Linked DNA regions of Oryza sativa Japonica Group. The protein of the gene in region 1 interacts with the protein of each later gene in a pairwise test. Links are inferred from orthologs where the notes say so. Each region holds a gene or a part of one and is shown in the gene's direction. Other genes may lie near its edges.

What was found.
Region 2: the proteins of auxin response factor 12 (region 1) and auxin-responsive protein IAA31 interact in a two-hybrid assay, tested with the Arabidopsis thaliana proteins (2 studies listed by BioGRID). The link is inferred for Oryza sativa Japonica Group from reciprocal best matches to the Arabidopsis thaliana genes ARF8 and SHY2.
Region 3: the proteins of auxin response factor 12 (region 1) and auxin-responsive protein IAA33 interact in a two-hybrid assay, tested with the Arabidopsis thaliana proteins (2 studies listed by BioGRID). The link is inferred for Oryza sativa Japonica Group from reciprocal best matches to the Arabidopsis thaliana genes ARF8 and IAA33.

The regions. Positions count from the first base shown.
Region 1 is NC_089038.1:34,802,891-34,807,274, reverse strand, and holds the start of auxin response factor 12, read left to right. Parts: upstream 1-1,541; 5' UTR 1,542-1,774; intron 1,775-1,884; 5' UTR 1,885-1,984; coding exon 1,985-2,066; intron 2,067-2,156; coding exon 2,157-2,266; intron 2,267-2,381; coding exon 2,382-2,480; intron 2,481-2,606; coding exon 2,607-2,663; intron 2,664-2,781; coding exon 2,782-2,937; intron 2,938-3,039; coding exon 3,040-3,124; intron 3,125-3,436; exon of another isoform or gene 3,437-3,656; intron 3,657-3,906; coding exon 3,907-3,997; intron 3,998-4,082; coding exon 4,083-4,247; intron 4,248-4,329; coding exon 4,330-4,384. UniProt on the Arabidopsis thaliana protein: Auxin response factors (ARFs) are transcriptional factors that bind specifically to the DNA sequence 5'-TGTCTC-3' found in the auxin-responsive promoter elements (AuxREs). Seems to act as transcriptional activator.
Region 2 is NC_089046.1:26,036,861-26,040,791, forward strand, and holds auxin-responsive protein IAA31, read left to right. Parts: upstream 1-1,320; 5' UTR 1,321-1,448; coding exon 1,449-1,600; intron 1,601-1,698; coding exon 1,699-2,061; intron 2,062-2,357; coding exon 2,358-2,436; 3' UTR 2,437-3,337; downstream 3,338-3,931. UniProt on the Arabidopsis thaliana protein: Aux/IAA proteins are short-lived transcriptional factors that function as repressors of early auxin response genes at low auxin concentrations.
Region 3 is NC_089038.1:33,839,394-33,842,464, forward strand, and holds auxin-responsive protein IAA33, read left to right. Parts: upstream 1-1,453; 5' UTR 1,454-1,635; coding exon 1,636-2,069; intron 2,070-2,197; coding exon 2,198-2,273; 3' UTR 2,274-2,426; downstream 2,427-3,071. UniProt on the Arabidopsis thaliana protein: Aux/IAA proteins are short-lived transcriptional factors that function as repressors of early auxin response genes at low auxin concentrations.

The DNA.
Region 1 (4,384 bases):
CGCTGTCACGTAGGGGACGTTACGTTGCTGTTGTTGGGGATGGTAAAAACCGGCCGGACTCGTGGAATCAAAGGCTCTAGGACAGGTTGCCCGTTTGGGGTGTGGATGATGATGATGATGATGACGACGACGACATGGGTTAAGGAGGCAAGGTTAGCTGTAATCAAACATATGTGTACGTAGGAGGACAAGCATACAAGGACTGATTATATAAGCATCACAAGTGGCTCCCAGTTAATTAAGTACTACTAGTCGCTAATCCGCAGGCAGCTCTTTAAGTGGAAAAAAAAAGATAGTACTTGATTAGTCTTGTCATGATTATGGTATTTTTGACTAATTGTGATTTCCAACTCATAAAATAGAAGCATCAAGTACATAATTTTTTATACCTATAATATATGTCTCTTATTAACATAGAAAGTAATGTCTCGAGATATTTATGTACTAACTCGATGGACCCGTTCCTACTTTTACCATGGCTTTTATTAGACAGACTGTAAGCACTATAGTCAGCGCATCGAGAAAGTATGTCCCAAGATACCTAATGCTCCCCTCTCTGTTCACCGGAGCTCTACGTATATAAAATATTGCCTACACCTGGTTGAATATATTCTGTTGAGCGATTAACATTCTATGTAGTAGGAGTACTCCCTCCGTCCCACATAAAACCCATTCCTATCATGCTAAGGTGAGACTAGTGAAGAGTAAAAATGACTAAAATACCCTTTTATTATTGAAAAAAATAGTAATGTTGAAAGGTAGGTAAAGGGTTTTTAAGGGAGAAAACTTTTCGTTTTATGTGCCAAGGTTAGGTAGGATGGTAGAAGTTGATTTTTTATGGGACAAAATTTAAACTATAGAAGTTGATTTTATTTAGGACGAAGGGAACATATAACAAAATTAGCACCATAAGACCATATTGTTAACCCAAATAATGAAATCAATACTTCATGATACCGGTAGAATCTGGAGGACGGGACTGGACAAACACGTAGGAGGAGCAGTACTAGCTGTAACACAGACGGGGAGGAGTTCACAAACCAACACGGGCTACAGGTTACAAGGAACGGTAGTAGTACTCCAGTGATACAACAGTGGTGCCCCACGGGAACACCAGTCTGCGCTGCGTGCGATGGAGAGCTGCATATGCCGGGATGGTGGATGGATCTCTCTCATCACCATTAGAGCATATATAATAGCAGACTATTAGCCAGATATAAACATATTTTAATAAGATAAGTGATCGCGGGCTATAGATATGTAGCCAGCTGCAGCACGAACTTCAAGACACAATATATGTAATATGTGAGACCATATATTAATAATATATTAAATAATTATTGTACGAATTAGCTATTAAATTGGTTATAGATGAATTAAAGCTAGTAGTGAACTATACTATTATACTATTAAACTTGCTCTTACGGCCGTGGTTACACCGACCCGACAGCCGCTTACATGAGCCCATAAAATACGGCTTTTTCAAAACCCCCTCGCTTCCCAACTTTTTAAAAACTCTTCAGACACTGTGCGGGAGCTCACGCTACTGTACGGCCCCCTGCGCTGCGCCCCCCCTCGTCGCGCACACGCACACACGCACTCGCACTACTCGAACCACGCGAACCCCTCTCTTTCTCTCTCTCTCTCTCTCTCGCTTAAATGCCACAAACCTAATCATTTCCACCCCTCTTGCGCTCTCTCTCTCTCTCTCCAACCCCACCCTTTCTCCCCACCATGGTGGCGATCTCCGAGCTCGGGTGAGCGGAAGAGAAAGGTTGGTTGGTCCCTTGCCGGCGGGGTGGGGGTTGGATTGATTTTGCTTTGCTTTGCTCTGTGGTTTGTTGATGCTTGTTGTTGGTGTTGGTGTTGGTGGTGGTGGTGCAGAATGCGGCCGATTTGAGGAGGGGGATGGGGTTTTCGGGTGGATTTGTGAGGGGATAGATTAAGAGTTTGTGCTTCTCTGGTTTGGTCGGAGGAGGAGGAGATGAGCTCGTCGTCGGCGGCCAGCATCGGGCCGCCGCAGCCGCCGCCGCCCCCCGCGCCGCCCGAGGAAGGTGGGTGGCTAGGTTTGTTTCCGCCGCTTCGCTTCGCGGTTCGCTTTACTTCCCTTCTCGTTTGGTTGATGACTCGATCTGCTGCTGCTGCTGCTGCTGCAGAGAAGAAGTGCCTCAACTCGGAGCTATGGCACGCCTGCGCCGGCCCGCTCGTCTGCCTCCCCACCGTCGGCACGCGCGTCGTCTACTTCCCGCAAGGCCACAGCGAGCAGGTGAGGCTGAGCTCACCTCCTCAGCCGTCTCGTGGGCGCGCTTGCTTTGCTTCTCTCTCTCTATCTCTGCTGGTTTCTCTTGTTTCTGACGCGGGTGAGCTTTGCATACGTGAAGGTGGCGGCGTCGACGAACAAGGAGGTGGAGGGTCACATCCCGAACTACCCCAACCTGCCGGCGCAGCTGATCTGCCAGCTCCACGATGTCACAATGCATGTACGTGGTTCCTTGCCCTAATTTCTCGGGGCATTTCTCAGATCGATGCGGCGTCACCTCCACTCCACTCCTCCGGTTTATCTCCATGGCTGTCGGTGCTGACTTGGGCTGGCAATTTTTTTGCAGGCGGATGTGGAGACTGACGAGGTGTACGCGCAGATGACGCTCCAGCCACTGAACCCAGTAAGGCGCCTGGGGTTTTTGCATGATGTTTGCAGTGCTGAGGTTTTGATGGTTTGAAGGCGTGAAATATTCTAAGCGGTTAATTTGATGGTTTTTTTGGATGTGTTCATTCGTGCAGCAGGAGCAGAACGATGCGTACCTTCCCGCGGAGATGGGGATAATGAGCAAGCAGCCGACGAATTACTTCTGCAAGACATTGACGGCGAGCGACACCAGCACGCACGGGGGGTTCTCCGTGCCCCGCCGTGCTGCTGAGCGCGTCTTCCCTCCTTTGGTGTGATGAGTGGTGTAATTTGGGGCTGTGCTCCTTTCTTGTACTTCTTGGGTGGTTGGGTTTTGCTGTTGCCAATAACAGGTGGTATAGTGTGGTTTGTAGGATTTCACACAGCAGCCTCCAGCCCAGGAGCTAATTGCACGGGATATTCATGACATCGAGTGGAAGTTCAGGCACATCTTTCGAGGTAACTTCTTAAAAATCTGTAGAGCTTATGGCAGTCTTGAATTCTTCATAACGGTGAATTATGATATTCTTAAAGGGAATTTCCTAATAATCATCTCTGCCCCTTTTCCATTCGATAAGTTCACCCTTTGTAATCATGGCTTAAAACCTTCCTAATAAAAACGTTTTCAAGTGTTCTGAGAAAAACTTCAACCATTCTCACACAATGTGATGTAAGCGTCTTTTTCACTTAAAAATCAGTTGGTGTGAATGGAGCAAGAGATACTTGATTGAATTAGGGTTATGCATAGAAATGAAGTTACGAGATCATTAATTGGATAAGCACATAAAAAATATCAAATTTTAATATGTTAGGATAGTTAGCAGTGGATCAAGTTACAATTGACATATGAATACATGATACTTTCAGAGGCGTACTGAAATATTTACTAGAGTTCGCAGGTCTTACAAAATTGCACAATGAGCAATCACTGTACTGGACAGTATAATTCTCGGTGTAGGCTTCTTTTTGTATGCCTTGAATTCCCATCTTTCTGCAGGGTTGAACTTATTGTTAGTGTGTTTTCTGACACAGAATGTACTTTGTATTGATCACAATAACTAAAAAAATGTTGTCTTAACATAAATGTTGATAGTACATATGCTTGAGGTACTTGTGCTGTATTGATTATGAAATGGGATCTGCTCAACACTAATGATGTTGTTAGTAATTGTGTTTAGTAGTTTTATATTTTTGAACATGCCATGTTACTATCTTTTGTAGTAATATGCTGTTTTTGACAGGCCAACCCAAACGACACCTGCTAACCACTGGCTGGAGCGTTTTTGTCAGTGCTAAGAGACTTGTTGCTGGAGATTCTGTGCTTTTCATATGGTTTGTTTTCCATCTCTCTTGCATTTGTGATTTTCTTTTTTACCTGTGCTAATGAGTAGGGCGCATTGTTGATTCTCTGACTCAGGAACGAGAAAAACCAGCTTTTACTTGGAATAAGACGTGCCAGTCGGCCACAGACTGTGATGCCTTCCTCTGTTCTTTCAAGCGATAGCATGCACATAGGTCTCCTTGCAGCAGCAGCTCATGCTGCTGCTACAAACAGCCGTTTCACTATTTTCTACAACCCCCGGTAAGTTGGACTTTTAAATTAGTATATATGCATTGTTGTTTTTCCTCCCCATGTACACCGTTAATAGAAAGAGTGTTTGTAGGGCAAGTCCATCAGAATTTGTCATACCACTGTCAAAATACATCAAGGCTGTTTTT
Region 2 (3,931 bases), on another chromosome or scaffold:
CATAGATTGATGGTGAGAACTTTTCATAGTTAATAAAAGGATATAAAATGTAACAAGTTGGGACAGATCAATCGTCTTGTCAATATTAGGAACATCGATCTACAGATCAACCAGTACTCTCTGCATGAACTCTGATGGATCCTAAACTGTTTTTGGCTAGTGCAGATATATGTTAATTACTAAATTGTCAATTAGACAAGTGAAATAAACTTGTAAAGCCAAGCAAATATTTTTTCAGTTTTCTTTCAAGCTGGACCAACCATTCATGACACCCAATAGGCCAAATTAATTAATTAAAGCTTAATTAACTAATTTACCCCTAAGCAAGGGACCAGCTGCTTGCTCTCATCTGAAAAATATGAGAGGCCGCAGCTAGCTTAGCTTTGGTTAGTTAAAGAAACAGCACCGGTGCAAACAAACCATACTTTAGTTTGCAGCTTCTAGCTTTCAAATAAAAAGGGTTAGTTAATTAACAACAACTAACAGTACTCAGAAATTGGGAAATAATGTTTGCACTAAACAAGCAGCCACTAGGTGTTTTAATTTCCCTAGGCCCCCATGGCCAACACCAAAAGAAGAAAGGCCAAAGAAAGAAGAAACAAAAGGTAGTGGAGAGAGATTCACAAGGGGATACACTACATGATGAGAAGCATGCAATAGAATACTGCAACATATGTATACACTCCATGTTACATTGTTCCATGCCACTATATCTTATTGGACAATATGGAGAGGGGGAAACAGCATTGTATATGCCAAAAGATGCTCCCCCAAAGATCTCTAATGATAGCATCCTAATCATGGCTTTGGCACCCTTGTTTAACTATCTCAAGAAAAAAAAAACCTTCAGACCCCCTAACTAATTATCCGGATCCACAGGTACAGAAAACGATCCATACCCAATAACAATGCTGCAACTAGGTACATAGTAGGCTGGATTCTTAAACTCGTGCCAGCAATGCATACATTATAAATAACACTTATCGGATAAGGGTTACGAGGATCAATAACCGATGACCCCGTATTACAATGAACAATAGGGTAGTGGGGGACCCGAAACCCGTTACCCGACGAATCTGCATGAGGCGTCAGGGGGCCCACGGGGTCGGCCCGCCCCTGTCGCGGGCTGACCCGGCATGGCCCTCATGGCTGCACCCTAGCTACCCCCACAACCACCCTCCCAAGCGTGTGGCCTGGCAGTGGCACGTATGGATGTACGTACATGCACTCGTGTGCTCACATCCACATGTGTGTGCTTCTTCACATAGCTAGGGTTTGTTAGCTAGGTCTATAAAACATCGCCATTGCTGCTCAGCTAGCAGCCACGAAGACAAAGTCAGAGGTCACACAGCTCATCGTCTCGAGCTACCTAGCTGGAAGAAGAAGAGGAAGAAGAGGAGGAGGAGCTCGTCGGAGTTTAGTTGGTGAGTTCGCCGGAGAGATCGATCATGGAGAATCTGAAGGCGACGGAGCTGAGGCTCGGGCTGCCGGGGACGGAGGAGGAGGCGGCGCCGCCGCCGTCGACGCCCAGGGCCGGAAGCAAGCGCGCCCTCGCCGGCGAGCCTGATCAGGCCAAGATCAAGCCCGCCGCCGCCGCCAAGTAATTAATATCAAGTTCTTCTTCGTCTTCGTCGCCGTCGCCGCCATGGATGGCAGAGCTAGCTCTGATACGTGTCGTGTTTGCTGCTGCTGCTGCAGGGCGCAGGTGGTGGGATGGCCGCCGGTGAGGTCGTACAGGAAGAGCTGCCTCCAGCCGACGACGACGACGACGAAGAGCAAGCCGCCGCCGGCTGCCGCGGCGGCGGAGACGCAGCAGAAGGAGGATGTCGCCGGCGCCGGTGGGCTGTTCGTGAAGGTGAGCATGGACGGAGCTCCATACCTGAGGAAGATAGACCTCAAGGTGTACAAGGGCTACCGGGAGCTTCGCGAGGCACTGGAGGCCATGTTCCTCTGCTTCTCCGGCGGCGCCGCCGCCGACGCCGCCGTCAACCCGTCCGACTTCGCCGTCACCTACGAGGACAAGGACGGCGACCTCATGCTCGTCGGCGACGTCCCATTCGAGTAAGTTGCTTCCAATTTTTTTTAGTTTAATTAAGTTTAATAAATTTTTTTTACAACTTCTAGTATCATAAATTAGTATCATTAAATCTAACATTAATATATTTTGATAGTATATATGTTTGTCTTTTTAAATGCTACTATGTTTTTCTATAAATTTGGGTTAAACTTAAAATTTGCCTAAAATAAAATCAGAACAGCTTATAATATGAATCAGAGAAAATTGGAACGACTTATAGTATGAGTCAATTATTTACTTGAATTATTTCTAATTAACTCTATGATTGTCTTTTTAATAGGATGTTCATTAGTACGTGCAAGAGGTTGAGGATCATGAAGGGGTCTGAAGCAAGAGGCCTAGGAGCAACAAGGGGTTAAAAACTGAACAACAACAAGAAGAAATCATCATCATGTGTGCATGAGCAATTCTTTTGTTCTTTTTGGGTTCTCCAAGACATGCAATCATCTCATCTCCTCATTGCAACCTTCAAGAAAGAGAGAGAGAGAAAGAAAAGGAAAGCAAAAAAAAAAAAGATGCAGTGAAAAAAATATGTGAAGCTTAATTGGAGTCATCAGATTGCAAAGCATGCATGCATGTGTGGATGTGTGGCTTTAATTTGTTTTTTTCCTCTTAATTAGGTGTTAGAAAACACAGAAGGAATGGAGGTTCGAGTTGAGCCTCCATGTGTGTTTGTACAAAGCAAACATCTTTTTTCTTTTACATGAATGGTTGATTACTTTTGTAACTGGAGGGAAGAAGAATGCATGTATGCATGGGCTGTGTGTACTTCTCCCTCTGGCTTCAATGCTTTGATTTCCATCCAGATTATCATCAATTTGCAAGAACGGCAGAAAATTACTTCTGCATCGTTCATTATGGTTAACTAATCAGTAACAACTTCACCATATGCTCACTTAGTCCACTAATCCTTCACACTCTTGGTGGTTTTTCTGAATCTCAATTAGGAGGCACAAACTTAAGCCATCAGTCATTGCTCTGTTTCCAAGAAGAAGCAGAGAACACAAGACAATTTTCTCCTCTTCAGACAGCATCACTTTGCAAAAAAGGGACAAGCTATGATTCACCCAAGTGACTGAAGTAAAAGAAAATTATAAATATATACAACTGCTTGGTGTGTCCAAATCTTGTCCTTTCATCAGATGCTCCTTGTCTTGACCCTTGAGCAGGTTTAAACATGTACGGAGGGAGAGATTAACAGTTTTAACAATCCAAGATCCAGTTAAATCTTTAATTAACCATTGATCCACTTGTCAAGAGTGACAAAACCAAGCAAAGTAATTAAGCTTTATTAGCCAGAGAGGCAGATAGATCAAGCTGGTCATCAAGGGACAAGCCTTCCATGGTCAGTGCTGAACTAATCTGTGTGCCTGAAACTACACACCCACACACACACAACTCATCCAGCAATGGTAACATGCACCTGTCTAGAGCTAGTCAGACAGACTACATGTGGTGCACATGAAACCCAAGGAAAAGATTAATGCTGGTCAAGGCTATCATCCATCTAGCTTAGCCTCACTCTGATCAGAGAGAGAGAGAGAAACAGGGAGTTCAGAGAGTAGCATCCAATGCAAGGGCACTATACTCCTTGTCTTCTGGGATGGTGTGATGGGTTTTGGCTAATGGAGAACATAATGCCTGGAGATTGAGAGGGTAGTAGGGTCCAAGCATGTGTGTGTGAAGCAGCAAGGAAAATGAGCTGGGAGATGAAGATTGATGCATATGTCAGATGGAGAGTCCCTGTCTGGTTTCAGATTTGCTTGCATGATTGATTAATTTCCTGATGTTATGTTAGGTTCAACAAGAGCTGGGTGTTATATGTGTTAGTGTATTTATTGTGGAGGTTGCTGG
Region 3 (3,071 bases), about 960 kb from region 1:
TACAGACGCAATATTCATGTAATTAAGAGCAGCGGGCTACAGATTTGTAGCCAGTTGTAGCACAAACTCCAAAGCGCAGTGTGTGTATGATAGGTGGGACCAGATATTAATAGTGTAGTATGTAACTATTGTATAAATGAGCTATTAGATTAACTATAAATAAATTGGAACTAGTAGTTGACTATACTATTGAACTTGCTCTAACACAGACCTGGTAAGAGCACAATTCAACCAACCACAACGATAGAGGCAGCAGTAACTGTAACTCACATGTTTCTCGCACCAAATCAACCGCGCATAGTACTCCGTAGCTTAGCTCCAATCCAACGTCTCCCCGGCCGCGCGGCCGCCCGTTTTTCCAGCTACCACGACGGGTGCAAAGACCGGAGAAACGTACGTACGCGAGCTAGCTAGATCGGTCGCCGCGCGGGCGGCGCCGATCGAGATGCTGCATGCGCATGCGAGAAGCCCCCGCGCGACCTGCAGCGGCCAGCTGCGCGAGTCGCACGTATACGAAGGTCCATCGATCGGCACACGGTATCCGCGGTGGTCTCGTGCGGTGCGCGCGCCCCCCACCACGACCTCCGGGATTGCACGAGCAGACTCCCGTTTTTTCTTCGTTTCTCTCCGGACGCCGCTGCATGCGGACGCGCGCGCACGCCCCGGGCGGCTAACCCGATCGATCGATCCCCAGGGGGAAAGAAAATGGCAAGAAGGCTAGTTTTGTTTAATTCCTGTCTCGGGTTTGGTTGGTTGCTGGCACTGCACTACTGCTCGACCCCTTTACTCACTTGCAAGCAACCCGATCGACGTCCCACCGGTCGTCCCTGCTGGCAATTTACTTGTGTGTTTGTGTGTGTTATATATATATATATATATATATATATATATATATATATATATATAACACACACCGTGCACGTACTAGCACTGTAGCGCACCCATGACTGTCTTTCTTCAATTGAAATGAATTATTGTCGTCCCTAGTTAATTACTAGCAATTCTCAATATATAATTTTGAATTGAAACCAAGTTCATTACGACAAAAAGAAAAACTGAAAAGAATACTGGTATTGTATTAAATGCAGTACAGTGATCTCGTTAATTTGCAACCATACCTTAGCTCCACACTCCACGAAAACTATTCTAAACTTAACTTTCGAGGGATATCTCCTCGTTATTTACATGTCATCTAAATAATTATAAAAAAATTTAATAAGATAGATTAATATATGATAAATCACTAATATCAAATTTAACTTCTACAAGTTACAACTGAAAAAATAAATTTGAATGTAAGTATACGTTAGTTAGCCATAGTTTAATTTATTTTTCTAAGTTATACAAGCTAAATTTTAATCAATTGGATAACATACAAATAGTGAGCTCCACTCTAGCCTCTATGACTCCATCTTCTCCTACAAAACGGTCACACGCTTCACACGGCAAAGACACAATTAACCTTCCACAGAACGGTGCTCCAATCACTCCACTTCATCCTATTTAACCCACCCCCTCTCACTGTGCGTCTGTGCCTCTCTTCACACACACACGCACAACCAACCGCGCCGCCCACACGCCACGAGCGCCGCGCCGGCGAGCTCTTCGATCAATCGCGCCGGCCGCCATCGTCCCATGATAAGCGGCGCCGGCGGTGAGCAGCAGCAGCAGCAGGACACGAAGCGGCGGCTACCGGCGCCGACGACGTCCGAGCAGGAGAGGCGGCAGAAGCAGCACCGCGGGAAGATGCTGAGGCTGTCGGTGCAGCAGGGCGACGACGTGACCGCGGGCGTGGTGCCGCCGGTCACCGTCGTCCTGGACGGCCGCTCCATCTGCCACCGCGTCCACCTCAGCAAGCACACCGGCTACCGCAGCCTCGCCGCCGCGCTCCGCCGCATGTTCGTCGACGCGGACGACGACGTCGGCGCCGCCGACGAGGCAGCTGGCAGGAGCAGCTGCAGCGACGCCGACCGTGGCGGCCTCGACCTGTCCAATGCCGTTCCAGGGCACGTCGTCGCGTACGAGGACATCGAGAACGACCTCCTCCTCGCCGGCGACCTCAACTGGAAGTAATTAGCTTCACACTCATCTTGTTAATCTCACTTCGTGTTCATCTCGTGCTTTGTCTGAATTATTCTTGACGCATTTCTGTGTGCTGTTCATCTGATCTGATTCTCCTGCAATACATCCATGTCAGGGATTTCGTCCGTGTGGCGAGGAGGATTCGGATCATCCCGGCGAAGCCATCTAGCCGGATGAGGCCTCAATCTTAATCTGCTCGCTTGTAACTAAACCACATAAACCTCTAGCTACTACTAGATCCAGTATTCCTCCTTTCGAAATCGAAATAGTTTGTGTTTTTGTCATCAGTTTGTAACGTCGTTAAGAAAATTCAGTTAGTTATTATAATCCCGTTTTAATCGTGACCGGTAATGTGCACGTACGGTTGAATTGATCTGCAAATTAGTAAGGTTAATTAATCGATTCATTACAGGTTAGTTAATCAAATCGCTGCTCGTGTCACATCTTGTTCGCTGTACATGCTTAACTGTGCGTGTACGTGGAGTACGTCGTGTGCCGTGTCCGTCTCTCTCGTGAGTCATCGTCTGCGATTGACTTGTGTGTTCTTGCTTTGAAAGTGAGGGCTTGTGTTCACTGATTGCTTGTGTTTCTCAACTGCTCGATCGATCGATCAGTCTCTCGATAGCTTCTTGAACACCGACGCTTTGTCCGAACGTGCAGATATGCAGGTACATATATACAGAGATGCAGTTACAAGTAGCCGTCAGTTAACCAGCTCGATCAGTACTCGTCGATCTCGATGATATCGAATCTATCAGTGTAGCATCAGCTACGTACTATGCTATAAAAGTCGATTTCAATTAAGCGTCTGCTTCTGTTAATTTGGAGATTGGATCGATTTACACGCGTATGCACAAGAACAGTTTGGTCGATCGAGTTGACGATAGCAATGGATGAGACTGAGATTGGGATGGCCGCTGTGTCCAGAAGCATAACTGTCATGAACAGCGTTCTATTACTGCCTGCGTACGTAAGGAGTACGTGGATAT